Linked DNA regions of Drosophila melanogaster. The protein of the gene in region 3 interacts with the protein of the main gene of each other region in a pairwise test. Each region holds a gene or a part of one and is shown on either strand. Other genes may lie near its edges.

The links.
Region 1: the proteins of gem (region 3) and spn-F interact in a two-hybrid assay, tested with the Drosophila melanogaster proteins (one large-scale study listed by BioGRID).
Region 2: the proteins of gem (region 3) and Neu2 interact in a two-hybrid assay, tested with the Drosophila melanogaster proteins (one large-scale study listed by BioGRID).

The regions. Positions count from the first base shown.
Region 1 is NT_033777.3:31,253,233-31,257,219, forward strand, and holds spn-F (spn-F), read left to right. Parts: upstream 1-1,894; 5' UTR 1,895-2,010; coding exon 2,011-2,737; intron 2,738-2,805; coding exon 2,806-3,173; coding exon of another isoform or gene 3,174-3,209; 3' UTR 3,210-3,427; downstream 3,428-3,987. Other genes in the region: mRpL32 (mitochondrial ribosomal protein L32), read left to right, coding at 1-66, 123-385; CG1750 (uncharacterized protein), read right to left, coding at 427-791, 847-1,009, 1,067-1,391, 1,447-1,622. UniProt on the Drosophila melanogaster protein: Plays a role in oocyte axis determination and microtubule organization during oogenesis. Also required for polarized organization of the bristle. Required, with jvl, for activation of the kinase IKKepsilon in the germ line.
Region 2 is NT_037436.4:21,488,290-21,492,462, reverse strand, and holds Neu2 (Neuroectoderm-expressed 2), read left to right. Parts: upstream 1-1,876; 5' UTR 1,877-1,983; intron 1,984-2,412; 5' UTR 2,413-2,461; coding exon 2,462-3,610; 3' UTR 3,611-3,613; downstream 3,614-4,173. Other genes in the region: CG7202 (uncharacterized protein), read left to right, coding at 276-1,015.
Region 3 is NT_033778.4:10,122,277-10,127,302, reverse strand, and holds the start of gem (gemini), read right to left. Parts: upstream 3,011-5,026; 5' UTR 864-3,010; coding exon of another isoform or gene 684-863; 5' UTR 98-683; coding exon 1-97. Other genes in the region: CG46319 (uncharacterized protein), read right to left, coding at 684-863; Ccs (copper chaperone for superoxide dismutase), read left to right, coding at 4,779-4,793, 4,845-5,026.

The DNA.
Region 1 (3,987 bases), on a different chromosome or scaffold from region 3:
GGGAGAAGAGAAACCTCCGCTCCTGTCTGCAATGTGGCCATGACCACGAGATGGGAGTTCTTTGTCGTAAGTAGCCTTAAAAGTATACAAAGAGGTAGCCACCTTTAATGTTGCTCTTCCAGCCTTCTGCTACCAAAAGGTCCTGAAGGAGACTGAGCTCATGCAGTCGAAAATCCAGGAGACACTCGGTCTAGATCCCGTGGACAAGGAAGTAATCGTTCTTTATGAAGGCGAGAAGGCCGAACAGTCCACAGATGATCTGAAAAACAAGCGCATCGTGGAGATGAAGAAGCCTCGTCCCATGTGGTTCACCAAGAATCTGCTCCAAAAATCCACGCAGCAGCTGTCCGAAACCAAGGAAGTCAAGCCCTCCGACTTGGCCTAGATACTAAGCATCCATTGTGCATTAAATCCACACGTTCGTTATCAAATCGATGCTATTTTATTCTCTGTGAAGGATAAGGACCTTGCTTGCTTCAGGAATCCGTTGTTAAAGTCCTGGGCACTCATAGGTTTTCTACCTTCCACGCGTAACTGAAGCACTTCCAACTGACTCTGCTGAGCACATCCGATTATGAGGGATCTCGACTTCCTTAGGTAGCTGATGGCACCAGGTTCTTGGACGGGAACTCTCTTCTCCGGTAATCGCAACTCCAGCAACTGCACTTGCTTGCCCAAAAAGTTGGTTGTAAGGTTTTTGTAGCCATACAAAGCTCGATGACGAGTGTATATTTCAATGGCACTCAGCTCGGACCAGATAATTTCTGTGATTTTACTGGTAATCTTGGGAGCTGAAGGCAAAAATATAGTTTATATAGGTTCTCGAAGTGCTTAGATATGCTTTACCATAGCTGACCCTTGAACTATCTTGGGGTTTGGCTTCCTTAAGTCTTACTGATAGGTTGTTAATAGTATCCACAAGTAACTCGGCTCCTAGCGACGCCAAAGATGCATGCAGATCCGGCATGAAGACATCGGGATTAATAGCCACTTCTCGCTGAGCTAAAATCTAAAGCATAAGTCGTCAATACTACTGCATACAATGGTAAGATAAGAATGAACTTACATCACCGATATCGAACCGGTGAGGTTCGATTTTCATGATGGAAACTCCAGTGCTGGCATCTCCCTTCATGATGGCGTATATGATGGGAGCAGCTCCCCGCCATTTGGGTAACAAACTAGCGTGAACATTGATCATCCCATAAGGAAATCCATTGATGATACTACCAGGAATCAGGTGGCCAAAGGAGACCACCACACCCAGATCAAATTGCGGACACACAGAAGGATCTATGGGCCACTTTTGCAGGGGAAGCTTCTCCTTTTCCGCGTAGGTCCTCACACAGTTGGCGGGACTTTTGAAGGAGGTAACAACTCCCAAACGATCACTAAGAAAAATATTCTTATTAATCCAATTTAACATTATTGTTTAAAACATTTTACCCGCAGTTTTTGTGTAGCGCCTGTAAGCTGGGCAAGGAAAAATTGTCGGTACCGAAAAAGAGAATTTTTGGAGGGTGGTAAGTTCCCTTGCAGCGCTGTGCAATTGGGATTACATTCTGCCACACTTTTCTCTTATATTTGTAAAAATTATTGACTAAACTCTTGCCGCAAAACATCGGAAAATTTGTTGGATAATAATGCAGCGTAAACAAAAACAGCTGTTCGCGATACCAGCTGGTCACTCTACCAAATAACGTAATAGGAATGCTGAGATAGAGTGAAACCTGTTGAACCTATCGTCTTCAACCATGTAAATGGTGGTCTAACTTTATAAGATCAAGAGTCGTTATTTTTGTTTAAGTAATTAAACTTAGCTCAATACATTACTTTACTTTTATTTATCTGTCTTCAGTGACTATAGACTATCGGTATAGTGTATATTATTTTTTTAAGTTCATCGCACGGTCATACTAATGAGAACGCAATAAAAATTTGGAAAATCAAACATCTACAGGAAAACGTATATTTTTGGGATCAAGTGCCAAGGAACTCCAATACTGCAGAATGGAGGCATCTGCTGCCAAAATCACGCCTATGGCCAGTTCCATGTCCGCTTCCGGATCCACAAACTCCCCCTCCAGTGAAAAAATGAACTACGCACTGCAAGTGGCGCTGCAGACGATCAAGGAGCGGTGCATCCAGCTGCAGCGCCGCGTGGCCAGCATGGAGGAGGAGAACCAGCAGCTAAGGGAGGCCTCCAGCAGGTCGGAAGGTGCTCCAAGGGCAAACGAAATCGGGGTCACTGGGGACGTCCTCTCTCTGAAAGCACAGGTCTCTGAGCTGCAGCGCCAAAAGGAGCAGCTGGAGGAGCACATTGGCATGGTATCCAACGAGAACAGACGGCTCTGGTCCCGCCTATCGCAGATCTCCAAGGATCAGCAGCTGAACGCACTGCCCAGCTCAACAGACTCGCGAGCCCAGCAAAACCAGAACCTGGTGCGCTCCAAGACCTTTACGCAGCACTCCCCCAATCCTCACCTTCGCCAAAAGATGCTCTCCGACGGCATTAAGGATCTCAGTCTGGAGGAAATAGCCCTGGATGACTTCGGTGCCAGCAGTGAGGAACTAGGTTACCCCTACAACCTGCAAAAGGTGGAGGAAACCACTAGTGAACCAGATGCCAATGTGGATGCCAAAAGATGTTTGGATGGACTGCAGGAGCTGAGGCGAGAGGCCATGAAGCAGCAGCAGGAGCTCAGATCGGTAATGACTCTGCTAGAAAATCGCATAGGTAAGCAACAAAATGGAATTCATGCTATAAAAAAAATAACTTTTAACGCCTGTTTTATGTGCAAGCAGCACTCAAGCCCTGTCCGGAATGTGCCCAGAAAACCATCAAAAAACCGGAGATGGCCGACAAAAGTCTGGAAACGGACGACAGCCTGACCAGCGAGCTGAAGAACTATGAGAGCCAACACAATGGACACAATGGCACGCCGCCCAGCCAGAGAATTAACATAATACAAGAGAAAATCAAAGCAGATGCAGCCGACGCAATGGAGAAGACCTGCCCTATGTGCGGCAAGCAGTACTCCAGCCAAGTGTCCTTCAATGCGTTCCGCGAGCACGTCGAGATGCACTTCATCGACGATGCACTGGAACTGGAGTCGGAGAACAGCATTGAGCGCCAGTTTGAGTTCGTTTCCCATGCTGTGGGTGACTTCTGACCCAGTAGGCGCATTTATTTCGCCACCGAACTCTGACCTGACCGGAGAAATCCAAGGATTAAGGAGCAGTTTGACTGCGCAGGAGCCGCTTGTTACGTTTCTATTGATAAGACGTTAGGGCGATCATGTATCAAAACTATACAACATTGAACTTTAAGAAAAAATATATATATATTGTATTATAATTGCGGAGAGTGCATGAATATATAGATGTAAGTGACCGAATACGAAATACAGTTTAAATGAAAAGCCTGAAAACATGTTGAGCGCTCTCTTCGGTTGGTTGGAAAGTGAAATCGTGGACCGTGGACAACATAAATATTATATTATTAGCGCTGACAAATATTGTAATATCAAAGATGACGATCGATGTTACCATCGCTTGTGGTCATTATCCGATCTAATTGGCAGCTTTTCTGTGAGTCACACACTTTGGGGGAAGAGTGGAACATTCGACAAAGAAGTTTGGCTTGAGGCCATTATGCTGTAACTGGTCAGAGGATTTCCCTGTTTTTTTGGCTATGACGTAGTCGAAACCCGACTGGCAACGTGTGCCTAATCGGGCTGATCCAGTCATTCAATGCGAATATTTGCCAAAATATTGACCATAAGATTTGCCATTGATAGCAATACAAATGCAAATGCTCAGAGCTAACTTTCTTTTAATGCATTTGGAGTGGGTCGCAGCAGGAATTTAGCTTAAGGAAACATTTTAATTTGCCTATGCTAATAAGTTTGATAAATAAATATTTTTAAGACACAGGCACGTGGCAGCTCCCGTGGATACTTTATTACGTTACTATGAAATGCTCAG
Region 2 (4,173 bases), on a different chromosome or scaffold from region 3:
TAGAAGTTAATGTCTATATTATTTTAATCGTTATTTGTGGTATTAAAGGGTATTCGAGATTTGATTTAACATATGAAATAGATATCAGACATTAAGTATATGTATTAATCTTTCTTAAGATCACTTGCCAGTGATCTGGCCATGTCCGTCTTTCCGTCCGACTGAACGTAGATACCTAGAAAAGTTGATGTAATTTGGTGTTCCAAATACTTATCGACCCTTAAAGTTTTTCACAAAGTTGTTATTTACCTTTTGCCTTTTATTCACTTGTACAGAGCGTCCTGGGATTACGTTTGAGCCGCAGCTGTGCCACAGTCCCTCAGAGCAGAGTAGCTCCGACAGCTCCGACAGCACCTACCAGTTTGCGACGAGCTTCGGCGTGATCTTTGCCCTGACCTTTGGTCTGTCCAAGCTGCTCCAACTGGCGGAGCTGCAGGCCAAAAGGTATTTCAAGAGCAAAAAGGCGCTGCATCCCAAATCTGCTGCCAAAGTGCAGGACCCAGTTGTTGAGCAGAAGGCGCCAAGCCAGCAGGACGATTCGAATCCCTTCGATCTCCTGCAGGACCACAATGAAAATCTGAAGGAGCAGCTCAGTATCCTGCAGTTGCAGTGTCTGGAAATGCGCGAACTTCTGCACGAGCTGGATATCAGCAGTAGCTCCAGTAGCTATGGAAGTGTCAGATCCGGAAACCGGGTAGCAATGGCCAAGTCCTCCGAAGAATCAATGGTGGTGTGGAGGCGATCGGACTCCCTGACCGGTACGGTCTCCGGCTCATTGCACGCCGAAAAGGTCAACTCCCCCTCCACACAAAACATCTACATTACCAACAGCCACTTCCACATCAACGGACAGGTCTACCTGACCGAGAACCACGTGAACGTCGAGCTCACCCAGAACGCTTCTTTGTTCGGTCGGGGGCAGAGCGAGTTCCTGCAGGTGGCGGGAAGGTTCATCTCCGGACCAAAGAAGATGCCCATGTTAACGGGCATGCGGTGCCACAACATCCTCATATGAGGAGTCTTCAAAATCATCCATTTCACTCGGAATAAACAATGTTACTAGCAATTCAACGACGTTTATCTTTAGTAGTTGGTAATACAAGGGAAATGGTTCCATAGAAAAAGGGCATCGCATCAAATAAGGCTTGCTCGACTATAGGTTACTTTCTAGTTTTATTATTGTAGTTGATTTAACATAAATGTTTTTAAAAACTTTGGGGTTCGAGTGTTTTAATGTCATCAAGAAAAGGAATTTAAGGAATAATTCTAGCACATTATCTATAAAGGCAATAATCGCTTACTCCTTTTGATTTACAAAGTTATTAATAATGTACATATGTACTTAATTAACACCAGAAATCGATGCCATTTACTTTGTTTTAGTCTTGTATTTAAAATTGAATTATTCGTTTTTTTGTACTGTATGTTTTTTATTGAATAATTTGCTACTAGAATGATTCCGCCATGGGGTATATTGGGAATAGAAGGGTATGGCTAGCTTTATTGGTCATTGGGTAAATGGTTTTCCCCTGTTTTCCACCACCCCAATAAGTATATTTCGTTACAAACACATGGTTTTAGAGTTCAGCAATAATGATTTAGCACTTTGGGGTCGACCAAGGAAAGATTTTTTCTTTAACCATAGTTACTTTTACCTGCATGTATCACATTATGCATTGACCTGCTTGGATCTACAGAAAATCGTAAGATTAGTTGGGACGCACCGTAAAAAGATGAGTGCAGCTGCTGGAAAGCCCTTCTTTGATGACACCTGACCCAGGTAACATTGTTAAATATGCTATGTTGCCCATTTTACAGAACCAAACGACCTTGGGACATGTTTGTATATAAGCCTTACGACTTACCTATTCACTTCAGAAGGAGTACAACCCTTGTCATAGCAACATCTTTACAGATTGCCAATTCCTGTGCTTATTGCCACATTTTAAATACGCATTCGCCGTGAACAAACACGAAAATAAGGTAAGTTTAAGGTAAGGATTGCCATTGTGGGTCAATTCGTGCCGAGTTAGCAAAGTCATAAATAAACCAAGATGTATTTGGAAATTAGTGCAATTTATGTTTAAAGCTCTACACAAGTATTAAATTTCATTGATTATTAAATATAAGAAAGAGTGCAGAGGGTTCTTTTTGATGCTATGCAACTAAAAGATGACGTTTGTCACTGACCTTATAAAGTGTATGTGTCATCCATGACTACGATCTAGTCGTACCTATTCTGTCCGTTTGTTTGAAAGTTGAGATCTCAGTGTATTTAGCATTCAGGATGTAGATTCCAGAAACGCTAATACTCAAAGATCTGGGAATAACCATTATACTTTTTTGAAACCGTTTAAGTGCACGATTTTGTATATTCGCAATTTTATATTCACACAGTTCGTGTCATTTCAGATCGATGGAATCGTCAATATGCCGAGTTTGCCTGGTCAGTTACGAAAATATGGCCAGTGTTTTCGATGAGTCTCATGAACCGGGCCTATCCATTGCGTACATAATATACAAGTGCACCGGCTGGCAAGTTGAGAAGCACGATCCACTGTCCAACACCATATGCAAGTCCTGTCTGGAGGATGCGCAGAATGCATTCGATATCATAGAAACGTACGAGAGAAGTCACCAGTTTTACCGCTTCCTCAAGGATGTACGGGAGGAGGAGAGTGAAAATGATGGATCCGGATGCTCAGAAGAAGTGGAGGCAGCTGAGAGGGATCTCCAGGATGGTGCCGACGACGTCGATTCCGGCAATGAACCTGATATTAACGAATGTGATATCAAGGCCAAGGAGAAACCAGGCTTTAGCTGTTCTCACTGCCCTAAATCTTTTCAAGTAAAATCAAATCTGAAGGTACACATGCGTTCACACACAGGAGAACGTCCCTTCACGTGTTCCCTCTGCCCCAAGTCCTTTGGCTATAGCTCTGGTCTTCAGAATCACATGCGAACCCACACAGGAGAACGACCCTTCCAGTGCTCGCATTGCCCAAGGTCCTTTACAGCTGGGCACCACCTCAAGGCCCACATACAGATGCACGAAAGAAGAGGATCGTTAAGGTGCCCATACTGCCAAAAGTGCTTTCTAACTTCTTTAATTCTCAAGCAGCATTTGGCCACGCACACTGATGAAACGCAGTTCAAGTGTTCCCAGTGCTCGAAGTCCTTTCAAGTCGAACATGAACTTTGGATGCACATGCGAGTGCACCAAGAACGCCTCTTTACTTGTGGCCATTGCTCAAAGGACTTTGCGCTACATGCGTATCTCAAGCGACACCTGTCAAGGAACGCGAGATGCTCTCAAAGCTCAAAAGCATCTGCTCACAAAACACTAGGCCACTCAAAGGCACTTAAGTGTGGTAAGTGCCCAAAAACTTTCACTGACCGTTCGGCTCTGTCCACTCACTTGAAATCACACACCAAAAATAAGCCATTGCTCGAAGGTCCTTGCAAATCTTCAGGATCTAAGCCGGCACATAGTAACGCACAAAGAAAACCGTTTAAGTGTTCCAGCTGCCCAAGGACTTTTTCGCGGAAATCCGCACTGCTAACACACTTGCAAACCCACACAGGAAAACTGGGCACAAATCGCATGTAGAAGAAAGAACCGTTTGAGAAGGCTAAAAGAATTCGATTCTTTTTTTTTTTTTGTTCGCACGGGTCCTACGTCCACACCTCCCGCCCAACCGACCGAGGGGCGCTGCCGTGTATCGTACGGCTCGATTCGCGAGAAGATATAGACGCGATATAAAAAAGAGAACAGGAACGAGGAAATGAATATAATGTAAAATAACTATATTAAATATTACTGTTAGTAGGATCTAATTATGTAATAAAAAAGTTAAAATCGATTGCTTTAAGAGCGGCAGAGAGTTAAGTCTATTATAGTCAGAACATAAAACTCTGTAAGGGTCATGCAACTCATAGTTAGATCTACAATGATTTAAGATAAGGGGTATATAGTTTCTAGTGAATCTACTTGGAACCGAAAAGTTAAGCCGACTAATAAAGTCGGGACTCTCAACATCCCCACGAATAAGCTTACAAATAAAGACTGTTCCAAGCATAGTTCTACGGTTAGCTAGGGACGGTAAATTAATTAAAGGAAGTCTACTAATATAAGGAGGTAATATACGGTTTGCATCCCAATTTAGGCGCCGC
Region 3 (5,026 bases):
GTTGTTGTTGTTGTTGTTGATGATGAGTATATTGTGGATCGAATATGCTTTGTAAATCCAACAGACCGGAGTTTTGGGATAGAAACGAAAGCGCCATTCGGTACGTGAGTTAACGGCGTTAGAATCGCGTTCTGGTCTCTATTAGTCCAAGCTTATTGTTGTTTGTTGTTTGATATCCTCCTGAATTATTTGACCGTGATCGCTCTCACCCGTATTACGAAACACCACTTCCGACCGGAGTAATTTCGCCAGCAATTTTGCTCAAGTTTTTTGGTGCAATGCGAAATGCAACAAAAGTGATTGATGGTAATAGTAATATTCGAAGTAGAAACCGTATATTGATCGACCAACACTTACTGATTACTTGCTTAGGCTAACATTTTGGCTTGGCTTGTTCAAAATGCTCATATGACACACTTATTTACTTAATCGTTCGTTCGTCGCACAGCACTTTGGATATACGAGGGCTAACCATATGCACTTGACGTGAGTTCTACTAACAACCAAATAATATCTCTAGTTTATTCATATATTTATTTAACGTAGGTATAACATGTATAACTTGCTTTCTTGTAACTTTTTCTAACTTGGCTCACAGTTGAGTGGAATTGTAAATTTTGCTTTTGTGCGTTTTGTGTTCTTGGGGCCTTTTGAGAGGGTTCGGGACTGGCCGGGGGGGCAAATTAAAACAATACGAAAAACGAATTGTATAGTTTCTTGATACCGGTGGTCTCGCGCTGACGATGGCTTCGAAGTAGGGTATTCTCGATTTTTAACAGCATCTTGGTCCGGAGGTACATATAGCTCGATTGCGACTGATATTCATTAGACATGCGTTGCAGTCGTATTTCAGATTTCTCCATTTATCGCTGAATTGGTTAGCCCGTGTTGCAAGCTTAAGTGTCTTGTGTTGGTTCTACGGTACAGGTCTCACTCGCTGTGGTGAAACTTGTCACTGGCTGCGGCGACTTCTAGCTCTTTGTGCTGGTTGTTTGGACCACTGTCAGATGGCGACGGACATTATATAGTAGTTGTTTACGCTGAAATCGAATATATATGTGTGTATATTTTCACTGATAACAACTTCGCTCGCTTTCCTTCTGCAGTTGGGGTTCTCTCTTGAGTTTGGTTTCGACTGATTTCGCTGTTTGTTTGGTCACTGTCAGATATTCGACATTCCAATTGGGCACTTTTGGGGGTTCGCTTCCAAAAAAAAATTGGATTTGCAACGGTGATTATGTAACTTTATTTGTTATACACTGTCAGAAGGCTGACATTATTTCGATCGTATTAGCACTAGAAATCTGATAGCGATTGTAGGGGTGGTTTCCTAGACTTTTTGCGACTTAACGTTTGGACAACTACTCGGTTTGCTCGACGATTTTGCTCTGGCTTGCACTGACTTTGCGACTTTACTCTGAAGTTGATTCGCTGGATTTGGTTTCTCTCTTTTTTTTATTTTGTATAGGTGTTATCGCGAACTTTACGTTTGTGTTGGGGTGTTATATATCAAGCGGGCGAGATGCCAGTTTCTTGGATCGTCACTTTTTATTGGGGCCTAATTTTTGCGGTGACTGCGAACAGGTTTTTTTTCGGGGCTAATTATTCACAAATGCTCTCGGCTTTCATTAGACAAATTAGGCTGTTTTTGCAGCGACTTTAGTTTGTTTCACACGATTTAGCACTGTATTTACGACGAAGTGAAACGGAACGTTTTTTATCTGTGGATTCTGTTTCGCGATAACGATAACGGTACGATTCGGTGGGTGGTGAAAACTTTTTCTGCCAATTCAATGGGTTATGGTTATATTTTAAAGTTTTGGGTTTTCTTATTTTTGTGGCCGGACTAACTTGCGAGCGTGCTAGAGGAGCACTTTTAATCCGACGAAGCGAGGCTTCGAAAAGCCCAAAGAGACGAGCATTTTGTGCGGCAGAACCTTGGTCGAGCGGCAGCCAACGCGGACACGAGGTTAAAATATCAATGAGTTGTGTGAATTTTCGCCGTTAGCGGGAAACTACAGATACACCAGTTTCGGAATCAAAAAAGCACGAAAAAAGTCAAGAAATACAGAGCGTTCCAATCAAGACGACGTCGCCGTTACAAACACAAGCAAAGATCGCGGTTCGCGGATCGCAGACGAGTGCGACAATAACAACAAGCACTTGCGATTACGGAGGCGGAACGGGAGCAACTACGCTCACATTCACACTTTTCGGAATAATGCCGACCCGAAGATTCAGATGCTGACAGCAAATTGATGCGGATGCTGCTGCCGCGCTGCTTTTCCTCTGCCGCCTGCTATCACTCTAATTGATTGTGGCAACAACAAAAGTGGCCGTTGTCTTCGTATTCATTGGAGTGCACATAGACACATGGACCACCCCTCTCTCCAGCAATTGAAAGGGCTTTGTATTGTTGTTGATGATGCTGATGTTGCTGCTGTTTTCGCTGCTACTGCTGCTGCTGCTGCACTTGTTGCTCGACGTTCCGTTACTCTCAGTTCGAGTCCCAGCTGTTTTGCACGTTCTTTTGTGTGGCTGCGTTTCGCGGTGAATGGCAAGAAGCGGACTGCTACTACACAATAACAAGTTAATTAATTGAAGTTGTCGCTGTGCGGTTGGAGGAATTGTTTTCCTCAATTTGTTTGGCTATTTGTTGCTCCTGCAATTGAATTCAATCTTTCGCTGGCATTTGTGTATATCAATTATTTCATTCCTTTTCGATTTAAGGCTGCGCGCGTCGATGACGTATTTGAATTTTGGCACGCACACTCAAAGACGCAAAGGCGAAAAGACCGAGATGAAAAAAGATTTCGGGGTCTCGCTTGTTACGCGCTTAGTAAGCTTTTCCGCTCGCTATAAACACTAGAAAAAGCGTCAACGTGTTAAAATTTTCTGCTGCCGTTGTTGTTGCTTTGCCGACGATGCTGTTGTTGTTACTCAGATTAGTTTACACTCCCGCACTAAATCGCTGAACATGTGTTTTAACGCCGATGGTACGAAAAATACTGATTTGGTGAGCGAACGTCACAAAGCTAATATTAAAATAAATACACTAGCCCGTTATGTTTCTCTCTCTCTTCGCTCTCTCACTCTCGCTCCAAAAGAGCGTGGCGTTCGACCCGCAAATACAAATACCAATACCAAAGCCCCACTGTAAGGGTCATTCTGTGCACGTGTGTGTGTGCGTGCGTCTTTGTGGAATGCAAGTGAAACAAAGGCAAGGCTAATTTTCCGTGGCACGCACTATCCAGACCAACTTATCTATCTACATTCCCGACACACGTATCCTTCCAGGTGATTGTTTCAGAGGCTGACTTGCATTTGTTGCTCTCTCACAAAACAAGGCGACAAAAATCTTTATGCTATTTATCAACAAGAACAGCTGTTGCCATTAGTCGCTGCCCCAAAGAGAACATTGCCTTTTTGTGTGGGCGTTCTTCTCTTCAGAGTGGCTCAGGGCGTATGGCGTCGATCTGTCGTTAGGGTGGACCATCTCAGACTTGTAAAAATTATTACGGATCTGCGGAACTAACTCAACTTATATATAAGTTAATACAAACATTAAATAATATTACTAATGTGAATAGCCACATAACCATTGGGAAAGAAACTAAATTTCTTACATTCCTAGTGTTGAACTTAAGGTCTAGTAACGGTACTCTAATAGCGACTAATTGTTATCCACCGATATCATTCATCTCTATCCCTAGATCGACGTGCTAAGAAAGGCCTTAATTGACAAAGCCATGTGCCGACTCGCCAAATTTTTGGGAATTGAACGGTTTTATCATAATTCTTTGTTGTAGTGCTTCCTTTTACAGTTCTTCAATTGAAGGCAATATTAAATATTTCTCAATTGTTTTTAAATTGCTATCAATAACGGGGTCCAAGTGAAATTAATTTATTTTGCACAATGAAAGTCAAGGCGCAATTGGCTGCAATAAAGTGGCGCGCATGGAAAAGCTTCATTCATATTGGTTGCACGTTTTTTTTTTGGGCCTCAATAAGCCAGCATCTGTCGCTTGCGGTTTTTGTAGACAAAAATTAGCGCTATCAATTCCAAAAAATTAGCATCATTTGGCTTAAAAATACTCTTTATGGCCATTGATTAAAACTGTCGGCGGCCATAAAGAAAAGTTAAGCCAAAATTATAAAACGTAATATGAAGTGAATGGAGCTACAGGTCTGAAAATTAGCACGGAAATTAAATAAGTTAGCATCTAAGCTAGTTCGGGGTTAGCGTTTTGAATCGGTCCAGAAGAGTTGGACAAAGTCAGCTTAAGATTATAAAATTGTTGGTCAAACTAAACAGAAAACCAATGATTATATCCAAGGTACTTAGCCCTATTAAATTAAGCTTTAATCTATTCACTTAAAATATAGTTGTAATCTATATAAATTTCAAACATCACAAATATTATTAATATAGTCATTTTGGAAATATGGAGTGACTTAAATAGAAATACCAGAATTCATTTTCTTCATCAAAAAGCACGCAATTTATGCAAAAGTTCAAAACCGAAGCTAGTAACTTTGGTTTTGTAAATGTAAAACGTTCTACGATAAAAATATTACATCTGTGTTCTAATACGTAACTAGTAATATCAGTTCAACGTTATAATTTATTGGATAAGTGGTTTACAAACGCCTTAAACTTTCGTTCCGTGTGAACCTATCGTTCTTCGATGACAGAAGGCGCGATTTGTCTGAACCTATCGACGGCCATCGATACCAAAGTTTGTTTATCATTGTTAGTCGGCACTTTGACCATAAAAATGAGCTCCATTAAGGTAAGTATATGTTATTCGGGTCAGGAAACTTGCTTCCATGTTAATGTGCAGATCGAATTTGCAGTGCAGATGCGAAGAGGTGACGAATCCTATGCCGGTGCCCTCCGTTCGGCGCTGGATGGGGTCGGCCAGGTGGAAATTGACACCCAGGAAGGTCGAGTGATAATCCAAACCCAACGACCTTGGTCAGAGATTCAGGACAAGATAGAAGCCACAGGTGTCCGGGCCGTACT